Cricetulus griseus: one gene and its partner. The protein of the gene in region 1 purifies or fractionates together with the protein of each later gene. This does not show direct contact. Links are inferred from orthologs where the notes say so. Each region holds a gene or a part of one and is shown on either strand. Other genes may lie near its edges. The genes, in order: Sertad4 and Ppp2r2c.

Region 1 (4,462 bases):
TCTTTCTCTCCTGAGCTGCTTTTCTTAAATTACAACACCACCAAGGAACACTTCTGGGTTTTCACACCTGTAACATGTCTTATTTGATCAGAGGGCAACTGTAGTTAGTGAGGCTAGGTTAGGTAGGACCTGTTGGCTTGTGGAGCTGACAGGAAAGAGACACACGCTGACAGAAACTGGAGTTGGGGATGTAGTCCTGGGCAGTGAGGCTGACACTGGGTGGAGGATGGTCCGTTAGCAATTGCTATTATTGTTAACATTTTTTTGTGTGTGTGAAAAAAAAAAAAGCAGCAAACATGTCCTTGCCTATGTAGCCTAGGCGGCCTGGGAACTCACAACGAAGCCCAGGTAGACTTTGAACTTTCTCCAGAGCTGACACATCTCACTAGCAACTGGAAAGTGGACACAGATGCAGCACCCACAGGAACTACAGATACAAACATGGGTGCCTCCTGACAAACAGGCAAAAGCAACTGCTAAAGCCTGGAGAGGGGTGGGCAAGGGGAGGCAGCCGGCGGGGTGGGGACAGAGAGGTGGAAGAAGCTGAGCTGGAGGCACAGTTCTGGAGGGGAGGCAACCACAGAGGAAAACGAACCTAAGCTTAGACACGCACCCGGTCCTTCACCTCATGCACTTGTATTTCCTTATTTTGTGTGGAAAGAAAAACAGCTATCTTTGGTCCTTCCTTGGGAATTAATTCTGGATTTTAACAAACTTGACATATGTCACAACGTATCACAAACAGCTCTATGTACGTATCCAAGGGACAATATATTGACCCCCCCCCAGGAAAACTCCTGAACAACCACCTCAACCAGCACACAGAAGTAGCCTTGTGGGCAGAGCTCAGACCAGAGTCAGGAAAGCCAAGTGCATCTCCCAACAGGTGACATCAAAGAGCAGCCCTGGGCCTCAGTGCAGCCCCAGAGTATTAAATTATCCACAAAAAGATGTGTTCTTCCGTACATACTGTGGTTATTTCCAGGCAGAGAATCTCTGTCTGGTTCTTCAAGTACTTGTGAAAAGTAACACAGGCCCTGCCCTAGTCAGGGTTATTATTGCTGTGATGAAATGCATAACCAAAGCAACTTGGGAAGGAAAGGGTTTATTTGGTTTCCACTTCCACACTGTAGGCCATCACCAAAGTACATCAGGACAGGAACTCAAGACAGGGCAGGAACCTGGAGGCAGGAGCTGATGCAGAGACCATGGAGGAGAGCTGTTTACTGGCTTGCTCAGCCTGCTTTCTTATAGAACCCAGGACCACCATTCCAAGAATGGCACCACCCACAATGGACTGGGCCTCCCCCACCAATCACTAACTAAGAAAATGCCCTACAGGCTTGCCCACAGCCTGATCTTACGGAGGCATTTTCTCAATGGAGCTTCCCTCCTCTCAGATGACTTTAGCTTGTGACAAATTGACTTAGTGCTATCCAGTACAGGTTCCCCCCACCAAAGTGACAGTGATTCATGTAGTCCCATAAAGAAGTGGCTCTCTTCTGTTGCTTGGGTGGGACAATTTAATGTCTGGAAATGGTTCAAGCCAGTGCCACAAGACATTGTAACTGTTAATAAAGTAACTGCTGTTTAAACATACTTTACGGCTGCAGCTGCTGAGTGTTGGGTGAGAATCCTCCTCTTCTGTGTACTTCCTCTTGAAATATGTGACCTTGGATGTGCTTATAGGATTTGGAATTCCCCTGTAATGTGATCCTGCAGTAATAAATCAGATAGACAAATGACACGAAGCCTGCCAGCGGTTCTCCAAGCAAAATGCTTTCATTTCCTTTCCCTGGAGTGGATAACTTGGCTACATCCCTGACTGTATACGCAGTGATGAAAAACAAACATTTGTCTTCATAGTTGCAGCTACCAGCGGACTGAATCCTGTGAGTCTGGGAAGGTAAAGATTTCCAGGCCACATCAGAGGAAAATGTCACCCACCTTTCAGCATTTACTAAATGCCTGGGATCTTAACTCTCTGTACAGGCAAACAGCGGAATTCATGGATGGCGTTGGTGGTGGTGGTGGTGGTGGTGGTGGTGGTGGTGGTGGTGTGTTGTGTGTGTGTGTGTGTGTGTGTGTGTGTGTGAGAGAGAGAGAGAGAGAGAGAGAGAGAGAGAGAGAGAGAGAGAGAGAGAGAGAGAGAGACCCTGTCCAAAGCAATACCAGCATTGACTCAGACCCCACCTCACAGAGGTAGTAAATCATGGGTACGAATTGATTTCAGGGTTAGTAAACAAATGCATACATACATGGAGTTATAATAGCTTTTCTTTTAAGATACGAAGTTACATATGGAAGCTTAACATTTGGAGTGATTAAATGCTGTTTCACTCTGGTAGTGTTAACACGTCAACCATGAATACAGCAGGGCCTCCTTTGAGGACTTTAAAACCTTTTCAGAAACTAGACTTTCATGAAGCTTTCATTTCAGTTTCTTTTTAAAAGGAAAAAAAAAAACTATCGCTTTATAAACACTCAAAGGAACTTATGTGAGACTATTAGAATTAAAGCCCAGAAGAATATATTTCTATTTTCTTATCAACTGTGTGCTTCATGAAGAAGAGCAGCTTGAAGCTGTGGTAAGGGTGCAGACTTCTTTATGCCTGGTGGGGCAGAAGCTCTGCTTGTGGGCCCTGTGATGTGTACATCCCCGAGGACCATTCACTTCCCAAGGACACAAAGCCTGAATCCAAACTTTCAGTATCTGGTTCAGACCCTTAAAAAACAAACAAAAAACCAAAAACCCACTGCTCCAGGATGTCCACAGCAGATGGACTGTAGAGCAAGTTAAGTAGGATTTCCCAAGGAGCCCAGCCTGACTGAACACCACCTCCTAAGGAGAAGGCCAAAGGCAATACCTGCCAGTTGAGGGCTGGCTCCTCGGTCTCCCTGCAAAGGAAGCTGTGCTGGCCCTGGGGGGCTCACACCTCTGTAGCTGTCAGCCTCCCATAGCGTTTGGTACCCAGCAATTTCAGCAGCTCCTTCTGAGACAATGGGCTCGCAGAATCTATTCATGGACAGAACCAGCGTCATCTCTGACAGCCTTAGACCTGGAAAAGAAGGGGTGGGTGAGTTGGAGAGATATACAGCCTGGGTTAGGAGCCAGCCTGAGGATGATGGTCTCTGGTACTTGGGAAGGCTTTCAGTTCCTCTCCTTTCCCTTCATACCAAACCGTCAGACTACCTTTCCCAGGACACCTCAGCAAACTCTTGCTGCTCTCAGCTTAGCTACTGCAAATGGCAGCCTGCATCTCAGGGCGGATCTTTAGAGCCCACTCTTATTGTTCTCGGATCCGCTCAGCCCCTCTCAGACAGCTGCTCTGTATCCTAAATACATTTTCCTCCCGATCTTACGAACGCACCTCTAAGAGGAAGGGCTAGAAGCCCTGTGCTTCCCTTCTATTAATAAGGTGAAATCAATTTTCTATTCAAGCCTCTAGGAGTCCCCTTTGATAAAATCTGCTGTCAATGGGGGAGGGGGACAGGGGCAGGACAGAAGTCCTAGGGTCCTTCCAGCACTTGTCTCTCCTCCCAGTTCCTCGGCCACACTCTCTCCTCCCGGGGTGAAGCAGGCAGACACTCGGCAGTTGTTTCCACAGCCCTTGTCGGCCTGAACTGGGTCTGCCTCCAGTCACAACACTGTGAGATGAAGACAGAAAATTGGCTCCCGTTTCCAGCCGTGAGTTGCAGCCCCACAGGAGCCAAGCCCAACACTAACCAGGCAGCAGAATATTAAACAGGAGCCAGGGCTCTGGGCAGAGGCAGCCAGCAACTCTTTAAACTGTAAAGCCAGATACCAGGCAGGAACTTTCCAAGAGTCAACACATTGCCGTCTGCCCTCCTCTCTGGTTCCCACCCAGACCTTAGGACGCTGGGAGCCAGCCTGGCCTCAGAAGCTCTGCTTGGCCTCCCAGACTCTGACCCTGTGTAATCCAGGCTATGAGGCCACCTCCATGGGGCTCAGTGGTGACCCTCAGAATAGGGTCAAGAGTATGTTCCAGGGAGAAAGGGAGTCTGGGGCCAGGGAGCAGACCCAGCAACTCCGATTCCTGGGTCCTTTCAGACAGGAGTTCTCAACCCTCCTAACTCTGCAACCCTTTAACCAGGTCTTCATGCTGGGGTGACCGCCCCAACCATAAAATTATCTCATCACTACTTGGTAACTGTAATTTTGCTACTGTTATGAATTACATTGTCAGTATCTGTCCTCTGAAGGTCTTAGGTGACCCCTGTGAAAGACTGACTACCAAAGGGGTCATTACCCAAAGGCTGAGAATCACTGCTGTAGGATATCCAGACCTGCACAGGTGACTCACTTGTGTTCTAAGGACCTGTCACTGAAGTGACGTCAGGCCTGCTTGCTGAAGATGGATTTTCTTTCTGGTATAGCAAGGGCCCAGTTTATTCTTTTGCCTTCAGGCTAGGGCAAGAGTGGACTTGTCACTGTCTCATG
Region 2 (3,810 bases), on another chromosome or scaffold:
CCACTGAGAACTTTGAGCAGAGGCTGACAGAAAGGAATGCAAGACCCTGGTCCAGACTCAGTCCAGCTCTCTGCACTCAGCATCACCTCCAACCCTGACCTCAGCTTCCTCCCCAGAATGGATGAGCCAGGATCCTCCAGGTCTCTCTCTCTCTCTCTCTCTCTCTCTCTCTCTCTCTCTCTCTCTCTCTCTCTCTCTCTCTCACACACACACACACACACACACACACACACACACATGCATACACGTACATCCCTCAGAGGGTATCACATAAGCTCAAAGCCATCCCAGCTCAGCATGAGGTCACACATACCTCTCTCCATGCCAGAAGGGAGACATCTCCAATTACTCAGCTGCCATCAGATCCGTGGAAACACCTGCAGCCCAGAGTCCAGACCCTTTTCTGCTAAGAGAGGCTCACCTCCAGGGAATAAGCCCAGAGCTCTGTTCCAGGTGTCTGACTCTCATCACTCTGTGGCCTGGTACCAGCAGGCCACAGTGGGGCAACATGGCTCCCTGATTAACCTGGCAGTCAGACAGGAGGCTGCTTCAAATCCTAGTTTTCCCTAAGCCACATCCGGGTCTTCAGCACCTGACACATACCCCTTCCTGCATTGAACAAGTCAGGCACCTCTCGTCACCAGCTTACCAGGCACTTTCACAAAACTGGAGCCACACACAAGTTGGACACAGTGTGTCCACAACAGCCATATTAGTTCCCTAGTTCCACGAGTCCACTGACATGTTCCCCTTTCCACTCGAGTTCCCACAAGGCCCGCCAGTCCACTGACATGCTCCCCCTTCTACTCTGCTGGTGAATGCTGTGCTCTTCAACATGGATGAGCATAACTCCTGTATTCTAGATGGGAAAAGGAAGTCAGTGACACGGGGACAAACAAGTCTTGGTGCTGGAGTAATCAACTCTCTTTCCTCATATACAACTATCTTGTTCTAATGTCCTGTGGCCACCTAGGTCCAAAGACAGTTACAACACAGCCCAAATTGAAGAAGTCAACATTCTTTACTGTCTCCATTACATCATCGCTATGCCATTCCCTGCCCCTCACTCCCTCTCAGTAGATACTTGTCATCTAATGAGCTCAGACTCAATGACTCAGGTCCCTTACTGCAAAGGGGCTGGTGACTATCCTATTGTGTGAAAGCTCAGTACATGAAACATCACTTAGTATGGCTGGCATTAATAGTCCACACAACAGTGACATGGTAGCAACCTGCCCTTTCTGGATTGGCCCTGACCTTCCCCAGCTTGGTGCAGGCTACACTCACACATCCTATAGGTGGTCCTCTCCTTAGCAGGCTGGAGGAGGGGCAGTGCTCAGTCCTTAGCTTGTTCTGACACCAGGATCCCATTTCTGGCTAGCTTCTGACACCCATATCTCTGATACCCCAGTTGTTACTCTATATCCAGAGAGACACAACACCGGACATGTTGCCTCTAGCTCTCTTGACCTTTCATGGCTCCTATGGGGACCAAGGTGATGGAGACCATTGCCACCCTAAGGAGGCATGGGGTGTGATGGAGCTTCTCAGCAGCTGTGTCTTTTAAGTGTTCATAAATACTGTGGTCCTACACCTGGCCCCCTTCACACCCTAGATGGGACCACAGTAAGGAAGCTGCCAAAACTAAAGCCCGGAAGCCAGTGTGCTTATATACCACCCTGAAGCCACTTCCCAGCAGGTCAAGCCAAGGATACTGAAGCTCCTATCAGTGATGGCCAGATGCCAGAGGTTGATGCGTAGGTCATCTGCTGACATGTATGTCTCACAGTCGCTGTTGACTGAGATGGAGTTGATGTGATAGGTGTGGCCATTGGCAAAGATCCTCCTCGGGCTCACCTCCACCATCAGGTCCATGGGCTTCAGGACAGGGACCTGCAGAGCAGAGACAGTCAGAGTCACAAGGGAAGGGGCCGGAGAAGTCACAGGACACACAATCTTTTTTTTCCCCCAAGACAGGGTTTCTCTGTGTAGCCTTGGCTGTTCTGGAATTCGCTCTGTAGACCAGGCTGGCCTCAAACTCATAGAAATCCTCCTGCTTCTGCCTCTCAAGTGCTGGGATTAAAGGATTACTGCCTGGCAGAGAACACACGATCTTAATGGGAAGCTGCAACACTCATTCAGGAGCAGGGTGTGAAATAAGCAAGCGGTCGTGTGTGAGATCAATGGTCAGAGATACCAAATGTCCTTCACCTGCCCTGCTAGCGCAGCATGCTCTACATGGCTGTTTAACTGTGAGGTTTTCAAAGCCTCCTGGCCTGTATAAGGGGCTCAGGAATAAACCTGCCCACCTTGCATGAACTGATGATGAGAAACAAGATCAAACATGGGATAGGTTATTAACTGGTAATTTATTAAGAAGGGATACTCACACAAGGAACCAATAACCAGATTTGGCACTCTGAGAAGTCCAGTCCCAGATGCCTCCAAGACCTAGCCTGAACACCCCCGAGAGATGAGGAGCGCCTCTTCCTCGCTCTTTATCCTACCCCTCTAGGTACCTGTGACCATACCCAAATGGGCATGGTCAGCAGTACAGGTATCCAGGGTCTCTCCCTATAAACTGAAGTGCCCAGCACACACACACACACACACACACACACACACACACACACACACACACACACACACGCTTCTCTCTCTTGTTCTTTTTATAATTTATGTGTATGAGCATTTTGACTGATGTATGCATGCACACTATGTGGTGTGCCTGGTACCCAAAGAGGTCAGAAGAGGGCATCAAATCCCTTAGGACTGGAGTTACAGACAGCTATAAGCTGCCATGTAGGTGGTGGGAGTCAAGAACAGCAAGTGCTCTTAATCACTGAGCAAGCACTCCAGCCACCAAAACTCTTTCTTGCAAGTTCCACACTCTGCTGGAGGATGCAAGTCCTTGTGTCTTTTAATTAAGCAGGACAAACGTCAACTTTGCCACAACTCTACAGCACCACATTCTGTCCTTCACTGCACCAAAGAAGACCAGCCCAACTCCCTCCACACTATAATACCCAGGATGAGCTCAACTCAGTAACTACAGAGCAAGTGTGGCTATACTCTGGGCCTCAGTTTTTCCTTTCTGTAATGGGAATTTTCTGACTTGCTTTCCCTCTCAACTGCAGTTGAAGAGCCCTTCACAGACACAGCCCACCACACCATGCCAGGAGAGAAGCATACAGGGTGTCTGCTGTGTAGTGGATTAAAATTTTTCATCTTGGGGAGAATTTTGAAGATATAGGATGTAAAAAGGAAGTGAAACAATGGGATATTTTAGGACAGGATGTTTACAAGGAGGTGAAACAGCAGGATGGTCTAAGGTAGCAGTTCTCACCTGTGGGCTGAAACACCTCTGGGGGTCGAAAGGCCCTTTCACAGGGGTCGCATAGCAGATACCCTGTATTGCAAATATTTACATTATGATTCATAACAGTAGCAAAATTACTGTTATGAAGTAGCAATGAAAATAATTTTATGGTTGGAGGTCACTAGAACCTGAGGAACTGTACTAAAGGGTCATGGCATTAGGAAGGTTGAGAACCACCTAATAAGGGGAGGTGAGATACTTCATCTTTTAGGGAAGCTCCTTTTGGACAGTAGATAAACAACTCAAAGTAGCTTCAGGAAGTTCCTGAAGCTGACCGGGTTCACTAAGTCCCTCCCTTTCTGGAATATATAAGCAATAAAGACTGCAAAGATCTATTCCCCAACAAGCTGCTCAGAAAGAAGCAGAGACCAGCGACCTGATCAGCCAAGCCGCCTGATTAAGACTCAGACCAGCTGAGCCACCTGGAAAGG

What was found.
Region 2: the proteins of Sertad4 (region 1) and Ppp2r2c purify together in Homo sapiens (affinity purification with mass spectrometry; 3 studies listed by BioGRID and IntAct, counting the BioPlex papers as one, with this or other methods). This does not show direct contact. The link is inferred for Cricetulus griseus from reciprocal best matches to the Homo sapiens genes SERTAD4 and PPP2R2C.

The regions. Positions count from the first base shown.
Region 1 is NC_048598.1:2,353,360-2,357,821, reverse strand, and holds the start of Sertad4 (SERTA domain-containing protein 4), read right to left. Parts: upstream 3,043-4,462; coding exon 2,868-3,042; intron 1,717-2,867; coding exon 1,601-1,716; intron 1-1,600.
Region 2 is NW_023276807.1:105,893,113-105,896,922, reverse strand, and holds part of Ppp2r2c (protein phosphatase 2, regulatory subunit B, gamma), read right to left. Parts: intron 1,894-3,810; coding exon 1,716-1,893; intron 1-1,715. UniProt on the Homo sapiens protein: The B regulatory subunit might modulate substrate selectivity and catalytic activity, and might also direct the localization of the catalytic enzyme to a particular subcellular compartment.